4 linked regions of the Arabidopsis thaliana genome follow. The protein of the gene in region 3 interacts with the protein of the main gene of each other region in a biochemical or structural test. Each region holds a gene or a part of one and is shown on either strand. Other genes may lie near its edges. The genes, in order: HFR1, LAF1, HY5 and CCA1.

Region 1 (4,683 bases), on a different chromosome or scaffold from region 3:
CTAACATGTTTCACTCCTCATTGATGGGCCCTTAATAAATTCATATTTGGGTTAATAACATTACATGGGCTAACCTAAAAGCCCAGTAAAGATAACGTTCTATTTGGCAAAAAAAGAAGAAGATAGATAGATCATAGATGCTGCATTTAATGTACAACAAAAATAAAAATCGTCAATCAACCACTAGATACACAAATAGTACTTCGTATAGTATATGATTCCAACCAAAACGGTGGGAACAAGAGAAAAATATTAAAATAAGAATCAATAATGCAAAGTTTTTCCATAATATCAAATAGATTGAACAGTGGGAAGTTGTAGATTGGAACGTATATTCCGAGAGGTCGTTGTCGTGAAGGAGATTGGAAACCTATGTAGTGGCTGTGGTTTTGCTTCGTCGCTCGCTAAGACACCAACAAAATATAAAGTACCCAAGTGTCAGACATAGCACCATGTCCATCACGAGGGCATCACGTGAACACGCCTTTTCTTCTTCCTCTCTCTCTCTCTTTTTCGATTTTTTTCAGGCCCATTTGATTCAACGCTACAAAGTTAACATTCATTAGTCAATTGAATAATAATAATTAGTATTTTTGTTCTACTAATTCGAAATTAGAATTTGATACTGTTTTTTTTTTTTTTTGATTGTTGATATTTAGTAACCAGGTCATTTTTGTTTATTCAGAATATGTTGTAATTATTGGAGTTTTTTTTAATTAAGGAAAATAGTGTGGACCTTTTTTATCAAAGATAGTAATAATGTGGACCATCGCACCTGCTCGGTGTATGGTTGATGATGACGTGACTCTAAAATTCCAATAAATGTGTCGTGGGGTTACAGAAAACAAAAAAAACTGATTCGTTATAGGATTGGTTTAGAGCCCACAACCCACGTGGGATTTTGGATAAAACCCTAAATGAATTCTTTTTTCAGGAATCCATAAATGGTCATGAAATGAAATGCATTCTCAGGCTGGAAATAATCGACCATTATATTATTGCACAAAAAAGTGAACTCTAGTATCATAACTCTGAAATTATTATGATTGCTGGTTACTGAATTTTGTAAGCCTTTCATAATAACGAATTTACCAATTGGGAGATCGAATAATCTTATCGTTGTTACAGACGATATTTTTTTGTCGATTATATTATGAAACTTGTGGTAGTCAACCTTTTTTTTTCCAAACGGAGACGTCATCTTTTTGTTTTTATATTTAGAGATGATCTGACCAAAAATAAACAAATAGACATCCGATATTTTACATTGTTTTATATATATATAAAGATAAAGCTTAATGACGAGTATTCAATGATAAACGATAAGATTACGGGAAAAATAATTAAACGGATAAAAATGGCCCTACCCGTTGTGCATTACAGTTCTTGGTTAAGAAATACTATTAAACTGTCTCTCAAATCTCAATATATAAATGAATACATTCTATACGTACAAAGATAAATTTATCTCTATGTTCATGTGTCAAAGTGGTAGTGAATCTAGTGACGTTATTGATTAATCAAGATTACTTTTATCTTTCTGTGCAAAATTTCAAGATTACTCTAAAGTCGATATATGCTACTATGACGTAGTTTTGGGACAATTACGTATAGAATCATAAAAACAATAAGCAGAATAATAATCCATTTAAGTACATTGTGAATTTGTGATAATGGAATTATTTGACAATACTTTTCCAAAATAAAAACTAATTTAATTACTGTATTAATTATTTTAGTAAAACAATATTTTCATTACAATGTTTGTTGTGAATCCAAAAAAGTATTGTTTCCAAAGAACTCAAATGACATCAATATGTCTATAATAACCTCGTGTAGCTGTATGTTAGAATCTAGCCGAATTGTTTTATTGTTGTCGGTGTACGCAACAAACGAACCACACATACTTTGAAACGTGGCACAATATAAGTGGGTCACCAATGTAGCTGACAACTATACCATCTATCTGATCCGATCGCTCTTATAACATAAGCGTATGGGATACCATTTTCTCGGACAAAGCTGAAATCCCTAAAGAAAAAACACTTCTCCAAACTTTTCATCTCCGATATCTCTTTAACTAACATGTAAGTATAATTAAACAGGAGGTTTCAGAGTTTAGGTTTCTTGCCTTGTTATTCTCTTTATTTATTTCTTTAATAATTTATCAATGATTTGTATCGTAAACCCTAATAGTTTACTACTTTTTTCTTGGCAGGTCGAATAATCAAGCTTTCATGGAATTGGGATGGAGAAACGACGTCGGATCACTTGCTGTGAAAGATCAGGGCATGATGTCAGAAAGAGCAAGAAGTGATGAAGATCGTCTAATCAACGGTCTAAAATGGGGCTACGGCTACTTTGATCATGATCAAACTGATAATTATCTTCAGATTGTTCCAGAGATTCATAAAGAAGTAGAAAATGCGAAGGAGGATTTATTGGTTGTTGTCCCTGATGAACATTCTGAAACTGATGATCATCATCATATTAAAGATTTTTCAGAGAGATCAGATCATCGATTTTATCTGAGAAACAAACATGAGAACCCCAAAAAACGTCGTATCCAGGTCTTAAGTAGTGATGTAAGTCGATACATAGATATATTTTCATGTTACCTTATGTATTATCATTTTTCACTGTTTTTAATTTTTTCTTTCTATAAATAAAATTAATTAATTTAGGATGAATCGGAGGAGTTTACAAGAGAAGTTCCTTCAGTTACTCGAAAAGGTTCCAAGAGAAGAAGAAGAGACGAGAAGATGAGTAATAAGATGCGTAAGCTACAGCAACTCGTACCTAATTGTCACAAGGTTGGTGTGTATATAGATCCTTCTATATAATGTTTCAATTTAACTATTGAGTGTCTAGTCTTTTCCGTATAAGTTTCCGCTACTTCCGTTGCATATATGAAGAAATCTTGCCTTAAGTTTCCAATTCTGATAACGGGTGGTGCTTTTTTACGGTTTTCAGACGGACAAGGTTTCGGTTCTCGACAAGACCATAGAGTATATGAAAAACCTTCAACTTCAACTTCAGGTCTATATTTAACTTTATTCACTATTTTTATTTCACACTTTATTCAGTGTTCTTCTTCCATATATTTGAATTATTGAGGCTTGAGGTTTTAAGTGTTTATCTAATAGTCTGAGTTTTTTTTTGGTTAATTTAACTAGTTGACATAAACTGTTCTTGGTATTCGATCTGACTCGCCAACTTATGAGATATGGATTATTGTTTTACAATATGGGTTTCAAATTGATCAAACAAATATAGCCACTTTTTGGTGTTTAGTGACGAAAAAAATGGAATGATATATAGTAGGCAGTAGATAACCTAGATGGTGAAGTCTATAGAATTTCTTTAATATTTCGAATTCATCTCTTTTCATGTGATTATTTAGTGCCAACTAAATGTTTTATATTTTATAGAACTATGTACCCATTTTGATCATTCGAATATGTATATGTGCTATTTATATTCAGAAACTAAGTTGTAATCAAAGTTGATGTTATAATTGCAGATGATGTCAACAGTGGGGGTGAATCCTTATTTTCTTCCGGCGACATTAGGATTTGGAATGCACAACCACATGCTGACGGCAATGGCTTCGGCTCACGGCCTAAATCCGGCGAATCACATGATGCCATCGCCGCTAATTCCGGCGTTAAATTGGCCATTACCACCGTTTACTAATATTTCATTCCCACATTCATCTAGTCAATCTCTATTTCTTACAACATCATCACCAGCTTCTTCTCCTCAGTCTCTTCACGGTTTGGTTCCTTATTTCCCAAGTTTCTTGGATTTTTCTTCCCATGCGATGAGAAGACTATGATAAGTAAGTAGCTCGATAAAAGTTTATGTGAAATGATCGTTGACTAATTAAGAGAGAAAAGAGTTCCAAATTAGGACAGTTTGTGTGAACCATTTGTGTCATATACTTTTTTTTCCGGGTGGTTTTGTATATTAATAATAATCAATAAGTTAAAACTTTTTGTATAAATTCTTGCATGTAACAATTTTTTCATTTATCTGATATTTTGTAAAATATATTGAGACATGCTTATAAGAGCATTGAACGTAGGAACAAGATTTCCCTGATTCTTAAGCGTCTCAAACGTTTACACTTGGTTACATGCATCCCAACTAGCTTTATCTTCAGCATCTCAAATTCAGGACCAGTGGGTCATACACTATGATAATGTTAATGTACAAAAAGTAACATTAACTTACCTCTGCACACTGCATGTTACTTAGAAGTTAGGATGTGGCTCTGCCAAATATAGGGCCGGATGTATGAGAAAAGATCAAAAGAAGAAATGAGGAAACTTGACTTCGAGAATTATTAATCACTTTCTTACACATCAATTATTGATTTGCGTTTTGTGTTTACACATCGCTTTTCCACAGTTGATATATTCATTTTTTTGTGGAAAATTCAAAATGTTTTCTGTTTTAAAGTTGTGACTTGTGAGTAATAATCTCTTTTCTTTTGTTTTCTGAGCTAGGTAAATACACACACAAGAAATATTACGTCCGAAACTCGAGACACAATTCATATTTATATATAAAAAAAGAAAAATTCTACACGCACAGACACAGGCGCACACTTATATACGTATTATTTTACAAATACATATCCTTTTGTCTCAATAAGGCTTGGCTTTAGTGAAAAACAAT
Region 2 (3,408 bases), on a different chromosome or scaffold from region 3:
TCCAGATTCCATTTCAACATGATTAGTTCGTGATTTCGACTCGGTGTGTTCAAGAACAAGGAACCTATCAGATGGGTAAGTTACTTAGGTACGGTAGAGAGCTGTAGCTACCGGATTAGAGATGGGGTTTTCCAATGATGCGAGTTGGGTTTTTTGCATTATAGACTTGTTGGCTTTTATGTAGAACCGGTTCAAAGTGTCAGCACAAAAAACAAAGATTATTGTATCTCATTTTTAAAAGCATTTGTCATTGTTTGACTAACGCCTGTCTTCTCTAACCGTAAAACATGTGTTTCATTCAATGTTGAATGATGTTTTTATTTTGGTGCATAAAACTAAGCCATGTTTAACCTTCTTTGTCAACATATTTCATAAAGTTTTATCAACATACCACAAGGCCTAATGGTCGAAGGAGGAGAAGTTTTGTTGTAGACGAACAATCTAAAGTATCCTAGTTATCATAACATTAGATGTATAAAATTTATTCTCCGAGGGCTAAGGATTAAGTCATCATAACATTAGATGTATAAAATTTATTAGTCGTGTTTCATTGGGGATTAGTTTGACGGCAAATTATATTATGTTATCAAGACGACCAAGACAAGGTAGACACTTTTTTATTGTTTCCCTCTCAATTTTCTTTACTCGTCATTTTCCACAGGCCAAAAGAGCCAACAAGTAAAAAACAAAATCAGAGTATTTTTAAAATTGGGACAGGCCATTTCGATCGGGACAGAAGGAATTCAAATTGTTGAAATTCACAATATTCCTCAAATAACTCTTATTATTGGTCCACTTGTCAGTGTGAATGTAAGAAAAACATCGTGAGAGGAAAAAATATGAAATAATTACTAGCAGCAAATAGGAGCTCAATGTTGACTTCACTACAAAATTTTATAATTAAGAGAAAAAGAGCTCTCAAATCATATAATAATTATTTCAAGTACTTGTATTAGCAAATGCAATTTGTCTGCTTGCTAATGATGCTTTACGAAAAGATTAACAGATTGGATGATTCTCTATAATCATTACTTCATTATTCACAATCATTGGATTGAATCAGACAGATTATTCCACCCGGATGATCGTTTCTAACCAAAAAACTCATTGACGCGATTTAAACATAAATTAAAGAAGTCGTTAATATAAAATTCTTGCCGACATTTTAGAGATTTTTGGATATGAAGATGTTATCTGATTAGTGTGTAAATTCTTAAGGCATCGTCCATTATAAATGAAGTAAATATAAGGAAAACAAACAATAAGAAAACAAAGTGAAAGAACAAAAACAAGCAAAGATTCTTCTTTTTTTTTTTTTTTATAGGTAGGAATCTCAAATCTTATATATACTGAAAATTGCTAATTTATTTTAAGTTGGAACATTATATCAATAATTTAAATTTATCCAAGCAGACTTTTGACACCTAATTAATCCTTACATATTCCATTATGACTTTTCTCCTCACTGCTTATACAAATGCATACAGTATACTCATAAGAAATTAACACATAAATTATATCCCAAATTTTCATAAAAATAGAAATATATATGTCATTTGTCATTTACTCTAAGCAGGCCCATTTGGTCATTTCTTAACACCAAGTATGTAGGCTCTATCTGTGGACGTTTGGTGATATATATGTTGTCTCAATCACCATATATAGTATTGAGACATGTTTTCTTGTATCAGGACAGACAGCTGACTAAAGAGAAATGGCGAAGACGAAATATGGAGAGAGACATAGGAAAGGGTTATGGTCACCTGAAGAAGACGAGAAGCTAAGGAGCTTCATCCTCTCTTATGGCCATTCTTGCTGGACCACTGTTCCCATCAAAGCTGGTCTCTCTTTCATCTTCTTCTTTATTAGTTTTTAGTTTCTCAAACTGAGTCAACTTTGATAATTGTTGTTGGGATTTAATTTGATAGGGTTACAAAGGAATGGGAAGAGCTGCAGATTAAGATGGATTAATTACCTAAGACCAGGGTTAAAGAGGGATATGATTAGTGCAGAAGAAGAAGAGACTATCTTGACGTTTCATTCTTCCTTGGGTAACAAGTAAGTGTATCTCTAAGACCTAACCCTATTGTTTTAGCAGATGCTAGTTATAGAGAGACTAATGATTTAGGTGTAATTAGGTGGTCGCAAATAGCTAAATTCTTACCGGGAAGAACAGACAATGAGATAAAGAACTATTGGCACTCTCATTTGAAAAAGAAATGGCTCAAGTCTCAGAGCTTACAAGATGCAAAATCTATTTCCCCTCCTTCGTCTTCATCATCATCACTTGTTGCTTGTGGAAAAAGAAATCCGGAAACCTTGATCTCGAATCACGTGTTCTCCTTCCAGAGACTTCTAGAGAACAAATCTTCATCTCCCTCACAAGAAAGCAACGGAAATAACAGCCATCAATGTTCTTCTGCTCCTGAGATTCCAAGGCTTTTCTTCTCTGAATGGCTTTCTTCTTCATATCCCCACACCGATTATTCCTCTGAGTTTACCGACTCTAAGCACAGTCAAGCTCCAAATGTCGAAGAGACTCTCTCAGCTTATGAAGAAATGGGTGATGTTGATCAGTTCCATTACAACGAAATGATGATCAACAACAGCAACTGGACTCTTAACGACATTGTGTTTGGTTCCAAATGTAAGAAGCAGGAGCATCATATTTATAGAGAGGCTTCAGATTGTAATTCTTCTGCTGAATTCTTTTCTCCATCAACAACGACGTAAATTGCGTTTATTGTAATGTAAATCAAATTTCTAAGGCAAAACCGGAAAAAAAATGTTTTGTTTTTTGTTTTGTCTTAAATGCTTTGACACCAATAAGGCAAATAGCATATATGGTTAAAGGAATGGCAATATGAAAGAAAAGAAAAGAAAAGAAAATGATTTAAAAGATTCATCAATATCATTGAAGATTTTACACACCAGAAGTAGCAAAGCCGTAACACACAAAGCTTTTCGCTACAAATGCATCATACATAAATGGAGTTTTGAGAGTACAAGGGGCGATACAGATGTAACGTGGAATGTAGAAAGTGTTTTATATAGCAGAATAACTGAAGTCAACACTATCATCATTGGAGACGGAAGGAGAAGGAGAAGGAGACTCAGCAGAAGCAGTGAGTACCACAAAGGCACCAAAGAGAATAGTGATAATGGCCGTGAAGTTGATAAGAAATGCTTCGGATCCATACTTGTCAAGCCCTCCATTCTCCAAGAAAGTCAGCTTTTCCAGAAACCCTAAAGCTGCATTCCCGACAGCAAGTATGTAAACAAACAGGCCAAGCATTGCGTGCCACGGAAGCAATCCGCTTTTCAAATTTGTTGATCCTCCTGGGAAGAAGAACACTATGAAGCTGTACACCCACTGTAAAGTTCAAAACTCTTGTTCTGGTCAGGAAC
Region 3 (3,801 bases):
CTTTGTTAACATTGATAGAATCTGAGTATCCTCAAAAGCATGAGAAATAATGTCAAACAATCCATAGTACACTAGCAACTAGCAATAGATGAAGATGAGATCCACGAAAAATCTAAAATAGAAAACAAAGAATCAGAAAGCATACAACAGGTAAAGAAATGTACGATTTTGTCCATGAAATTCGGTTGTGGCAACCCGATTCTAAGAAGGGAGCAGCAAGTTCAAGGTAGCAGTGACAGAAAACAATGTCTGGATTCCATGGATTTTAGAAAAAGGAAAGCAAAAGTGTAAGAAAACACTTACATGATTGCTCATCTCTCGAGCTTGACAAGCTTTGGCTGTAAAAGATCGACCCTACCCTCTTTGTCCGATTTCCGCATAATATGATCAACGGCATCTTCGTTTACAAATCCATGGCGACTTGTCTGTAAGAAATCGGGAGGGATAGGGGCAAAAAGGAAAAAAAAAAGAGTAAAGATTCCACTATCCCAGAATTTGTTTGGGACTTTGAACTGCGGGAATCGAAAACGCAACCTTTCTACTACAGTGTCACAATGTCATATCATAGAACAAAAATTAGCTTATTTTTGTTATAAAACAACATTATGTTTCAATTAAGAGAAATCTAAGACTACAATAAGAGAACTTGGTCTACAATTGCAATATTAGCTCTCACATCCCATATAATTTTAACATGATAATTATTGATACAATTCTCTGTAAATTTTATCCACAAAAATATAACACAAGAAGAAGAAGGAGATCAAAGGCTTGCATCAGCATTAGAACCACCACCACCTCCTCTCTTGTTTCCTGTTGTGTTCTTCAGAATCTACACCACATAAAAAACATAACAACTCAAAAGACTTTATTACCACACACACACATAGAGATCCAACTTTGCAATCTCATCTTCTCCATTCATATAGAACAAAATGAGTGAGCATTTCAAGAACCATTGAAGAATTTACATGCCTTTTGAGAGAATATGCGAGTGAATGACCATTTCAAGAACCTACATGCCTTCTGAGAATTAATCTAAAGCTTAAGTTAGCTTCTTAGATCCTTTTAACTAACTAAACTAATTATTGGTCAATCCTAGACTCGTAAATGTGATAAACCAGTACTGTGATATATCAAAAAACAAATGGCAAAAGCATTGACGTTGCAGGTTAAGTCAACAGTAAGATCGACAAAACGTACATGTCTAAGCATCTGGTTCTCGTTCTGAAGAGTAGAGAGTCGCTCTTCAAGTTCAGAGTTTTTGTTCTCCAAGTCTTTCACTCTGTTTTCCAACTCGCTCAAGTAAGCCTTTTTCCTCTCTCTTGCTTGCTGAGCTGAAACTCTGTTCCTCAACAACCTTTTCACCACAAAATTACCAAACAACCCCATCACGCAACCGTTATTTAACATAATCACCTTCCATATAAAGGGTAAAAATGTAAATTCAATGAATAGAGAAAAAGACACCTCTTCAGCCGCTTGTTCTCTTTCTCCGCCGGTGTCCTCCCTCGCTTCCTTTGACTTTCTCCGACAGTCGCCTGTGTCCGCTCCTGACCGGTCGCCGATCCAGATTCTCTACCGGAAGTTTCTTTTCCGACAGCTTCTCCTCCAAACTCCGGCACTCGCCGTATCTCCTCATCGCTTTCAATTCCTTTAAAACATAAAAGAGACTTTAGACGAAAAGTTTCAAACTTTTTAAATACAATAAAAAATTGCAGATCTTCTGGGGGAGACTAAAAGTTGTGAATCTAGATGTGAATCAATGGTGATACAAAATCTAGATGTGAATTTACTAGATATCCAATGCATGAGAATGAAAATCAATGAGATCACTCGTTGGGAGAAGATATGAAAATAAAACAATCGACAATTTTTGTTTACCTTCTTTGATCTCCAAATGTGGAGCAGAGCTTGATGACCTCTCGCTGCTTGATGGTAAAGAGCTTGCAGCTAAAGAGCTAGTCGCTTGTTCCTGCATTTTTCTTACTCTTTGAAGATCGATCAGGCGAGAGAGAGAGGGAAAGATTTGTTGTCTTAGTAGCGAAGCTGGTGAAAAGGATAAAGAGGAAAAGAGCGGGACTTGGGATTTACAGAAGAACTTGGAAAGAATCTAATTGCGAGACATTTTGGGAAGGAATAGATTACTCTGGCTACCGCCGTCAGATCTCTGAAGAATCGAACGGATATCGAGAGTGAATCGTGGAGAAAGGTGAGCCTTGAGGAAATACAAGGATCCAAAGGCAATTGAGATTGGAACGTGGGTGGATTTTAGCCGTTAGATCTGGTTAGCATCTTACGGTGAATAATGGATAGGGGAGCTAATTGGGTGGGCCCCATTCCTGTCCTTGGACAGAAAAGTTTGGTCTGAGTTCTTTCATTCTGTCACATGGCCCACGCCTAGGGCAGTGCTTTCAAAAGTGTCGTGAAAGTAATTTATTTTATTTTTGGTGATTTGTTTTTGTCATGCATTAAAATTAAACTTTATAGCCGCCATAAACCAAACAAAGTTGAAACGGTTTTCTACAAGACACAATCTCAGCAAGGAAATAACTAAAAACTGAATACAAGATATCCTAAAATTTCATAGTCCAACATATCCAGCCACACCATTGGACAGAATCTACTACTATAAACACTCCTCGTATCACCAAAAAAACTTGTCCTTGACGACAATGTTGATGAGTTTCTGAGAATCAAGTATACAAATCATTGCCATCTCAACGTTAACATTAGATCAAACCGGAGCTTGATATGGAGCTCGCTTATCTGGAACTCCGTCTTCTGCTCTTTTATCTTCGAACCACTTCAAAACTCGCTTCCTTGGAAGATTGGTCACTTGAACAATGCTGCTAACCACAGCATTCTATTCACAGCATCATCAAACATGATCATATGTGAGATAGAGCATTCAAGTAACATAGAAATTGATTCAAATGTAAAAGGAGAATCCTTACAGTGGGTCGTTTTGATCTTCTGTAAACTTTCTCTAGCGTTTCAATGTGAGCTTTCTTCACTCTTTTCTGAGCAGACCATCTCTGTTGCATCACATGAACTGCTTCATCTTTTACTTTTTCCTTAGGTTCGACCACAACATCTTCAGCTGATAATGATTCCACAGGACTTGGATCAGGTGAGGAGTTCTCAGGTGCTGCTACTGGCGGTTTTTCATCTGGTAGTGTAGCACTTAGCATTAGCAGCTTTGGAGGCGGGTCACGAAGCAATTCAAGAACATAAGCCCTGTCAAGACAAACCTCAGCTGCCAGATTTTTAATCTACAGATCACAACAAAACCATCCGTTATCAATTATGCATTTGAAAACCAGAGAACTACTTGTTCTTTGTCAACTCTTAAACAATTCGTAAGCAAAATCTCCAAAGCAGACACTAACTCAAGCACTATGCTTTACACAATGTATTCAACATCACTTCAACACTGAACTAAAACTTACACTAGTTTTACGACGCCCAGCTTTCAATGCATAAGCCAGTCTTTTAAGCTGCCAATTCTTCAGCTTAGTCGGTCTTTCATCTTCTTCGCTGTCATCATCATCATCATCATTATCATCATCATCATTATCATCATCATCATTATCAACATCAACATCAACATCACCAGTGACTGAACCAAACAAGTCGATGTCATCAACATCGTCACCAACACCCAATGCTCGAGCTAACTCATCGGCTAATGCCTCTAACTCTTCCTCACTTATCTCCTCATCATCCGAGTTATCATTCTTCAAATCTTCTTCTAAAAGATTAAACAATGCCTCAAATGGATCCTCCTCCTCCTCACCT
Region 4 (5,573 bases), on a different chromosome or scaffold from region 3:
TCAGTCTCATACCCGTGCCGCTAAAGCCACTGCTTACTGTTCGTTTTCCATAAATCTGAAGATTTTTCTTTTCACTTTTAATTTCGAGTTTAAAGTTTCAAACTTTCGAAATGGGTTTTGGTTTTTAGGTCGGAAGATTGTGAGGAACGTTGTGACGAGAGCTACTACTGAAGTTGGTGAAGCTCCTGCCACTACTACCGAAGCTGAGACTACTGAGTTACCTGAAATCGTCAAGACTGCTCAAGAAGCTGTAAATACTCTTACTTTATTTATACAATGATGATTCTACCTCTTGCTTCTGGGTTACATGTACTGAATTTGGTTGTTTGGATTGAAGTGGGAGAAAGTGGATGACAAGTACGCTATTGGTTCTCTTGCCTTTGCTGGTGTAGTGGCTCTTTGGGGTTCTGCTGGAATGATTTCGGTGAGTAGAAGAATACTACTTTCTTCTTAAAACCCTAGTGTTAAATTTCCTTTATTTGATTCCAAAATTTGTTATTGTGAAACAGGCAATCGATAGGCTTCCATTGGTTCCTGGTGTTCTTGAACTTGTAGGCATCGGTTACACAGGAGTGAGTTTCTTCTTCTCTTTGTATCACTTGAACCAAAGCTCTCATGAACCTGTTTTGAGGATATAGATGATTCATCACTTCACTTTTGGATTTAGGATTAGTTCTCTGAATTTAGAATCCGAACATCTGCAATTCATATGGAGATATGATATCAGAAATTGATTGCTGCTTCTCGCTAGTGTTTCAATCTTAAAAGACGTGTGTAGTTTGTTTCAATTGTGTGATGGACCTTATTAACATTTGGTTTTTCTATGGCAGTGGTTCACTTACAAGAACCTGGTCTTCAAACCAGACAGGTTAACCAATTCTCTCTTTAACTCTGTGTTTGGTTGCATGTAATACTGAGAATGGAAGACTCAAATTCTCGAGGAAATTGTTTGTTATCTGTTTCAGGGAGGCTTTGTTTGAGAAGGTCAAGAGCACATACAAAGACATATTAGGGAGCAGCTGAATCAAAGGAGGAAGAAGAAGAAGAAGAGCCTTTTTGAGGCCATTCATGAATTGGAATGAAGGATATCAAAAGAATCTAACACAAAGGCCACGTCCTTCCTTCAATCTTTCCTTCTTGTAACTAAATAATTTTCATCCTTTCTCTCTCTCTGTCTCTGGTCTTTTTTAGCTCAAAGTATCATCCATTTATGTCAAAGTGTTGTAAATTCCTCAAGACTATATATGAGATGTTTTGTTTCATTTTCCAAAATTTCAAACTTTGTCCCCATTTAGTCTTCTACCCTTCATGCATGGTTAGCTTAGCTTAATGCTGAACTGTTGAATAACGATATGGGCCTTATGCTAAAAGAACAAAACCTTATGGGTCTAAAAAAAATAAGCCCAATATAAAACTATGGCCCAAATAAGTTTAGGTCCATTAGAGTGTGAGAATAGCGCGTGTAGTGAACCGCACGAGAATGCGCGTTCGATTGTTGGTGAAGTAGTCGTCTAGATTCCCGGGTCCACTGATGTTTCTAGTGTATCAGACACGTGTCGACAAACTGGTGGGAGAGATTAACGATCTTAAGTAGGTCCCACTAGATCAAGATATTATAACGAATTGACCTTTTTAACCTTTCAGGTAGTCCCGGAACTCGTGGCCTAGAATACAAAGAAGGTTGTGAACAAGTTGATGTTAAGATGGACAAGAATGTAACTTGAACAAAAGCTGAATCATCTCTTCAGCCACTAGTATGTTGACATATGGCAGTTTCTTTTGTAGCCTCGAAATAAATAAATTAAAAAGTTTGAGGTTAAAGATAATTATAGTGGCTGAGATTTCTCCATTTCCGTAGCTTCTGGTCTCTTTTCTTTGTTTCATTGATCAAAAGCAAATCACTTCTTCTTCTTCTTCTTCTCGATTTCTTACTGTTTTCTTATCCAACGAAATCTGGAATTAAAAATGGAATCTTTATCGAATCCAAGCTGATTTTGTTTCTTTCATTGAATCATCTCTCTAAAGGTACTTAAGATTGATTTATTGTCATGGTCTTTCTTATTGTTTGATGAATAACTTGACTTGATTGTTTTTTGTTTTGTGGATTAGTGGAATTTTGTAAAGAGAAGATCTGAAGTTGTGTAGAGGAGCTTAGTGATGGAGACAAATTCGTCTGGAGAAGATCTGGTTATTAAGGTAAATTAAACTAAATTTTAGGGGGAAGATGATTGTTTTAGGTGTCAAAGATTGAGAATTTTAATGAAACTTGATATAGACTCGGAAGCCATATACGATAACAAAGCAACGTGAAAGGTGGACTGAGGAAGAACATAATAGATTCATTGAAGCTTTGAGGCTTTATGGTAGAGCATGGCAGAAGATTGAAGGTTGATTTTTATTTCCCTTTATATGTCTTATTTTTTGTGTTTGCAGAGGTTTGTCTTCAAACTGATTTGCTTTTTTTCATTTGGACAGAACATGTAGCAACAAAAACTGCTGTCCAGATAAGAAGTCACGCTCAGAAATTTTTCTCCAAGGTAAAATCGGTTAATTTTGAAATGATGTTCTCATCTTCATTGGCTTAATGCTTAAGACTTATTGAAAGCCAGGCAAGTTTTCTGCTTCTTTTGCTTCTTAGTCAGGAGATAGATAGATTACGTTTTTAGAGTTTAGTAATGAGCAATAAGTCTTAAAATAGTTGGAGAAATGACGAGATGTAATCGTTTTCTTTTGTTTATGCCTATATCTTGTTAATCCACAAACATGTACATAGATTCTTCAGAAGAATGTTAGTTTCTTTAGATTCTTCAGATAAACTTGTGTCTTCTTACCGATTCTGAGGTAGTGGCAAAAGTGGGCTGAGTGCTAGAAATTTTTGAATGTTCCTTGTGATAAGCCATAGAGGTAAACCATTTTTGATTTTCCAGTTCTGTCATTTAAACTTGTTAGTGTCATTAGATTTTTGTTTGTTTACGTTTGTTTAGAGGGTAACAAAACTACTCTCATCTCTCTCAGGTAGAGAAAGAGGCTGAAGCTAAAGGTGTAGCTATGGGTCAAGCGCTAGACATAGCTATTCCTCCTCCACGGCCTAAGCGTAAACCAAACAATCCTTATCCTCGAAAGACGGGAAGTGGAACGATCCTTATGTCAAAAACGGGTGTGAATGATGGAAAAGAGTCCCTTGGATCAGAAAAAGTGTCGCATCCTGAGGTGATTTTCATGGTCATATGGCATCTTTTTGCAGTGTGTCACATTGCTCCTCATGTTATTAATACAGATTGTGTGCTTCGTTTATAGATGGCCAATGAAGATCGACAACAATCAAAGCCTGAAGAGAAAACTCTGCAGGAAGACAACTGTTCAGATTGTTTCACTCATCAGTATCTCTCTGCTGCATCCTCCATGAATAAAAGTTGTATAGAGACATCAAACGCAAGCACTTTCCGCGAGTTCTTGCCTTCACGGGAAGAGGTAAAAAACAATCTTTCATTGCTATTTGAGGTTTTAAGACGATTAGTACTTTTCATGAAACTAAAACCGTGGGGGAATAACAGGGAAGTCAGAATAACAGGGTAAGAAAGGAGTCAAACTCAGATTTGAATGCAAAATCTCTGGAAAACGGTAATGAGCAAGGACCTCAGACTTATCCGATGCATATCCCTGTGCTAGTGCCATTGGGGAGCTCAATAACAAGTTCTCTATCACATCCTCCTTCAGAGCCAGATAGTCATCCCCACACAGTTGCAGGAGATTATCAGTCGTTTCCTAATCATATAATGTCAACCCTTTTACAAACACCGGCTCTTTATACTGCCGCAACTTTCGCCTCATCATTTTGGCCTCCCGATTCTAGTGGTGGCTCACCTGTTCCAGGGAACTCACCTCCGAATCTGGCTGCCATGGCCGCAGCCACTGTTGCAGCTGCTAGTGCTTGGTGGGCTGCCAATGGATTATTACCTTTATGTGCTCCTCTTAGTTCAGGTGGTTTCACTAGTCATCCTCCATCTACTTTTGGACCATCATGTGATGTAGAGTACACAAAAGCAAGCACTTTACAACATGGTTCTGTGCAGAGCCGAGAGCAAGAACACTCCGAGGCATCAAAGGCTCGATCTTCACTGGACTCAGAGGATGTTGAAAATAAGAGTAAACCAGTTTGTCATGAGCAGCCTTCTGCAACACCTGAGAGTGATGCAAAGGGTTCAGATGGAGCAGGAGACAGAAAACAAGTTGACCGGTCCTCGTGTGGCTCAAACACTCCGTCGAGTAGTGATGATGTTGAGGCGGATGCATCAGAAAGGCAAGAGGATGGCACCAATGGTGAGGTGAAAGAAACGAATGAAGACACTAATAAACCTCAAACTTCAGAGTCCAATGCACGCCGCAGTAGAATCAGCTCCAATATAACCGATCCATGGAAGTCTGTGTCTGACGAGGTACTTACTTGGACTAAAGATCAACTTCCTTTATTTCAAATCATTTTCTCATATAAATATTGTACATTCAGGGTCGAATTGCCTTCCAAGCTCTCTTCTCCAGAGAGGTATTGCCGCAAAGTTTTACATATCGAGAAGAACACAGAGAGGAAGAACAACAACAACAAGAACAAAGATATCCAATGGCACTTGATCTTAACTTCACAGCTCAGTTAACACCAGTTGATGATCAAGAGGAGAAGAGAAACACAGGATTTCTTGGAATCGGATTAGATGCTTCAAAGCTAATGAGTAGAGGAAGAACAGGTTTTAAACCATACAAAAGATGTTCCATGGAAGCCAAAGAAAGTAGAATCCTCAACAACAATCCTATCATTCATGTGGAACAGAAAGATCCCAAACGGATGCGGTTGGAAACTCAAGCTTCCACATGAGACTCTATTTTCATCTGATCTGTTGTTTGTACTCTGTTTTTAAGTTTTCAAGACCACTGCTACATTTTCTTTTTCTTTTGAGGCCTTTGTATTTGTTTCCTTGTCCATAGTCTTCCTGTAACATTTGACTCTGTATTATTCAACAAATCATAAACTGTTTAATCTTTTTTTTTCCAACCTGGAAAGAACTTCACTCAAGGGGCTCTTGTTCTTGATATATGCAAACGACAGAGTTCCAAAACGTAATCTTAGCCCATCCATCACCCTTAAGTTGTCTCATAACTCATAAGTAAGCACAAAAGCACCACACAAATAAGCAAACTCTACTTCCTTATGTCATCACATAAATAGAAAGGCAAGCAGCCAAAGGCAAGCAGTAGCAAGTACAACAGAGTTGTTACAAAAAAGGATTAAATAAAAACAGAAGTTATAAGGATAAATCCAACCACACCCATGAAATGACCCCATATCTTTTATTTGGCCGTCTCCTTGTCTTCAAAGCTGCTTTTGCACCTCACCAGACTCTTTTTCAGCTTGCTATAATCATCTGCCATCTCTTTCTCCATCCCTTTTTGTTGTCTGAGGGATTCACGTCTCATCTTGCGGAGAACTAACAGCGTGAGGACCTGTGATAAAGGTTCTGCAACGTCGAAACCCTGCTCCTCGAACATTTTAAATGTCTCTCTGTAGACATCTAGTTCAC

Evidence for each region.
Region 1: the proteins of HY5 (region 3) and HFR1 form a complex in vitro, tested with the Arabidopsis thaliana proteins (one study listed by BioGRID).
Region 2: the proteins of HY5 (region 3) and LAF1 form a complex in vitro, tested with the Arabidopsis thaliana proteins (2 studies listed by BioGRID).
Region 4: the proteins of HY5 (region 3) and CCA1 form a complex in vitro, tested with the Arabidopsis thaliana proteins (one study listed by BioGRID).

What each region holds. Positions count from the first base shown.
Region 1 is NC_003070.9:465,088-469,770, reverse strand, and holds HFR1 (basic helix-loop-helix (bHLH) DNA-binding superfamily protein), read left to right. Parts: upstream 1-1,890; 5' UTR 1,891-2,085; coding exon 2,086-2,087; exon of another isoform or gene 2,088-2,218; coding exon 2,219-2,585; intron 2,586-2,684; coding exon 2,685-2,813; intron 2,814-2,973; coding exon 2,974-3,039; intron 3,040-3,523; coding exon 3,524-3,838; 3' UTR 3,839-4,155; downstream 4,156-4,683. UniProt on the Arabidopsis thaliana protein: Atypical bHLH transcription factor that regulates photomorphogenesis through modulation of phytochrome (e.g. PHYA) and cryptochrome signalings. Suppresses the transcriptional regulation activity of PIF4 by forming non-DNA-binding heterodimer.
Region 2 is NC_003075.7:13,050,841-13,054,248, forward strand, and holds LAF1 (myb domain protein 18), read left to right. Parts: upstream 1-1,662; 5' UTR 1,663-1,714; coding exon 1,715-1,841; intron 1,842-1,887; exon of another isoform or gene 1,888-1,928; coding exon 1,929-2,058; intron 2,059-2,138; coding exon 2,139-2,733; 3' UTR 2,734-2,902; downstream 2,903-3,408. Other genes in the region: AT4G25550 (Cleavage/polyadenylation specificity factor, 25kDa subunit), read left to right, coding at 1-33; ACYB-2 (Cytochrome b561/ferric reductase transmembrane protein family), read right to left, coding at 3,047-3,373. UniProt on the Arabidopsis thaliana protein: Transcription factor that promotes photomorphogenesis in the light by participating in the transmission of phytochrome A (phyA) signals to downstream responses. Probably acts by activating expression of light-induced genes.
Region 3 is NC_003076.8:3,592,820-3,596,620, forward strand, and holds HY5 (Basic-leucine zipper (bZIP) transcription factor family protein), read right to left. Parts: upstream 2,185-3,801; 5' UTR 1,982-2,184; coding exon 1,885-1,981; intron 1,655-1,884; coding exon 1,471-1,654; intron 1,361-1,470; coding exon 1,099-1,360; 3' UTR 976-1,098; intron 833-975; coding exon of another isoform or gene 764-832; 3' UTR 542-763; downstream 1-541. Other genes in the region: OCP3 (overexpressor of cationic peroxidase 3), read right to left, coding at 2,738-2,866, 2,958-3,275, 3,453-3,801.
Region 4 is NC_003071.7:19,243,848-19,249,420, forward strand, and holds CCA1 (circadian clock associated 1), read left to right. Parts: upstream 1-1,743; 5' UTR 1,744-2,025; intron 2,026-2,109; 5' UTR 2,110-2,157; coding exon 2,158-2,196; intron 2,197-2,275; coding exon 2,276-2,387; intron 2,388-2,475; coding exon 2,476-2,537; exon of another isoform or gene 2,538-2,904; intron 2,905-3,015; coding exon 3,016-3,210; intron 3,211-3,297; coding exon 3,298-3,471; intron 3,472-3,554; coding exon 3,555-4,436; intron 4,437-4,507; coding exon 4,508-4,870; 3' UTR 4,871-5,068; downstream 5,069-5,573. Other genes in the region: PSI-P (photosystem I P subunit), read left to right, coding at 1-38, 129-250, 338-424, 510-572, 831-868, 966-1,023; DUF4 (hypothetical protein (DOMAIN OF UNKNOWN FUNCTION 724 4)), read right to left, coding at 5,344-5,573. UniProt on the Arabidopsis thaliana protein: Transcription factor involved in the circadian clock and in the phytochrome regulation. Binds to the promoter regions of APRR1/TOC1 and TCP21/CHE to repress their transcription. Binds to the promoter regions of CAB2A and CAB2B to promote their transcription.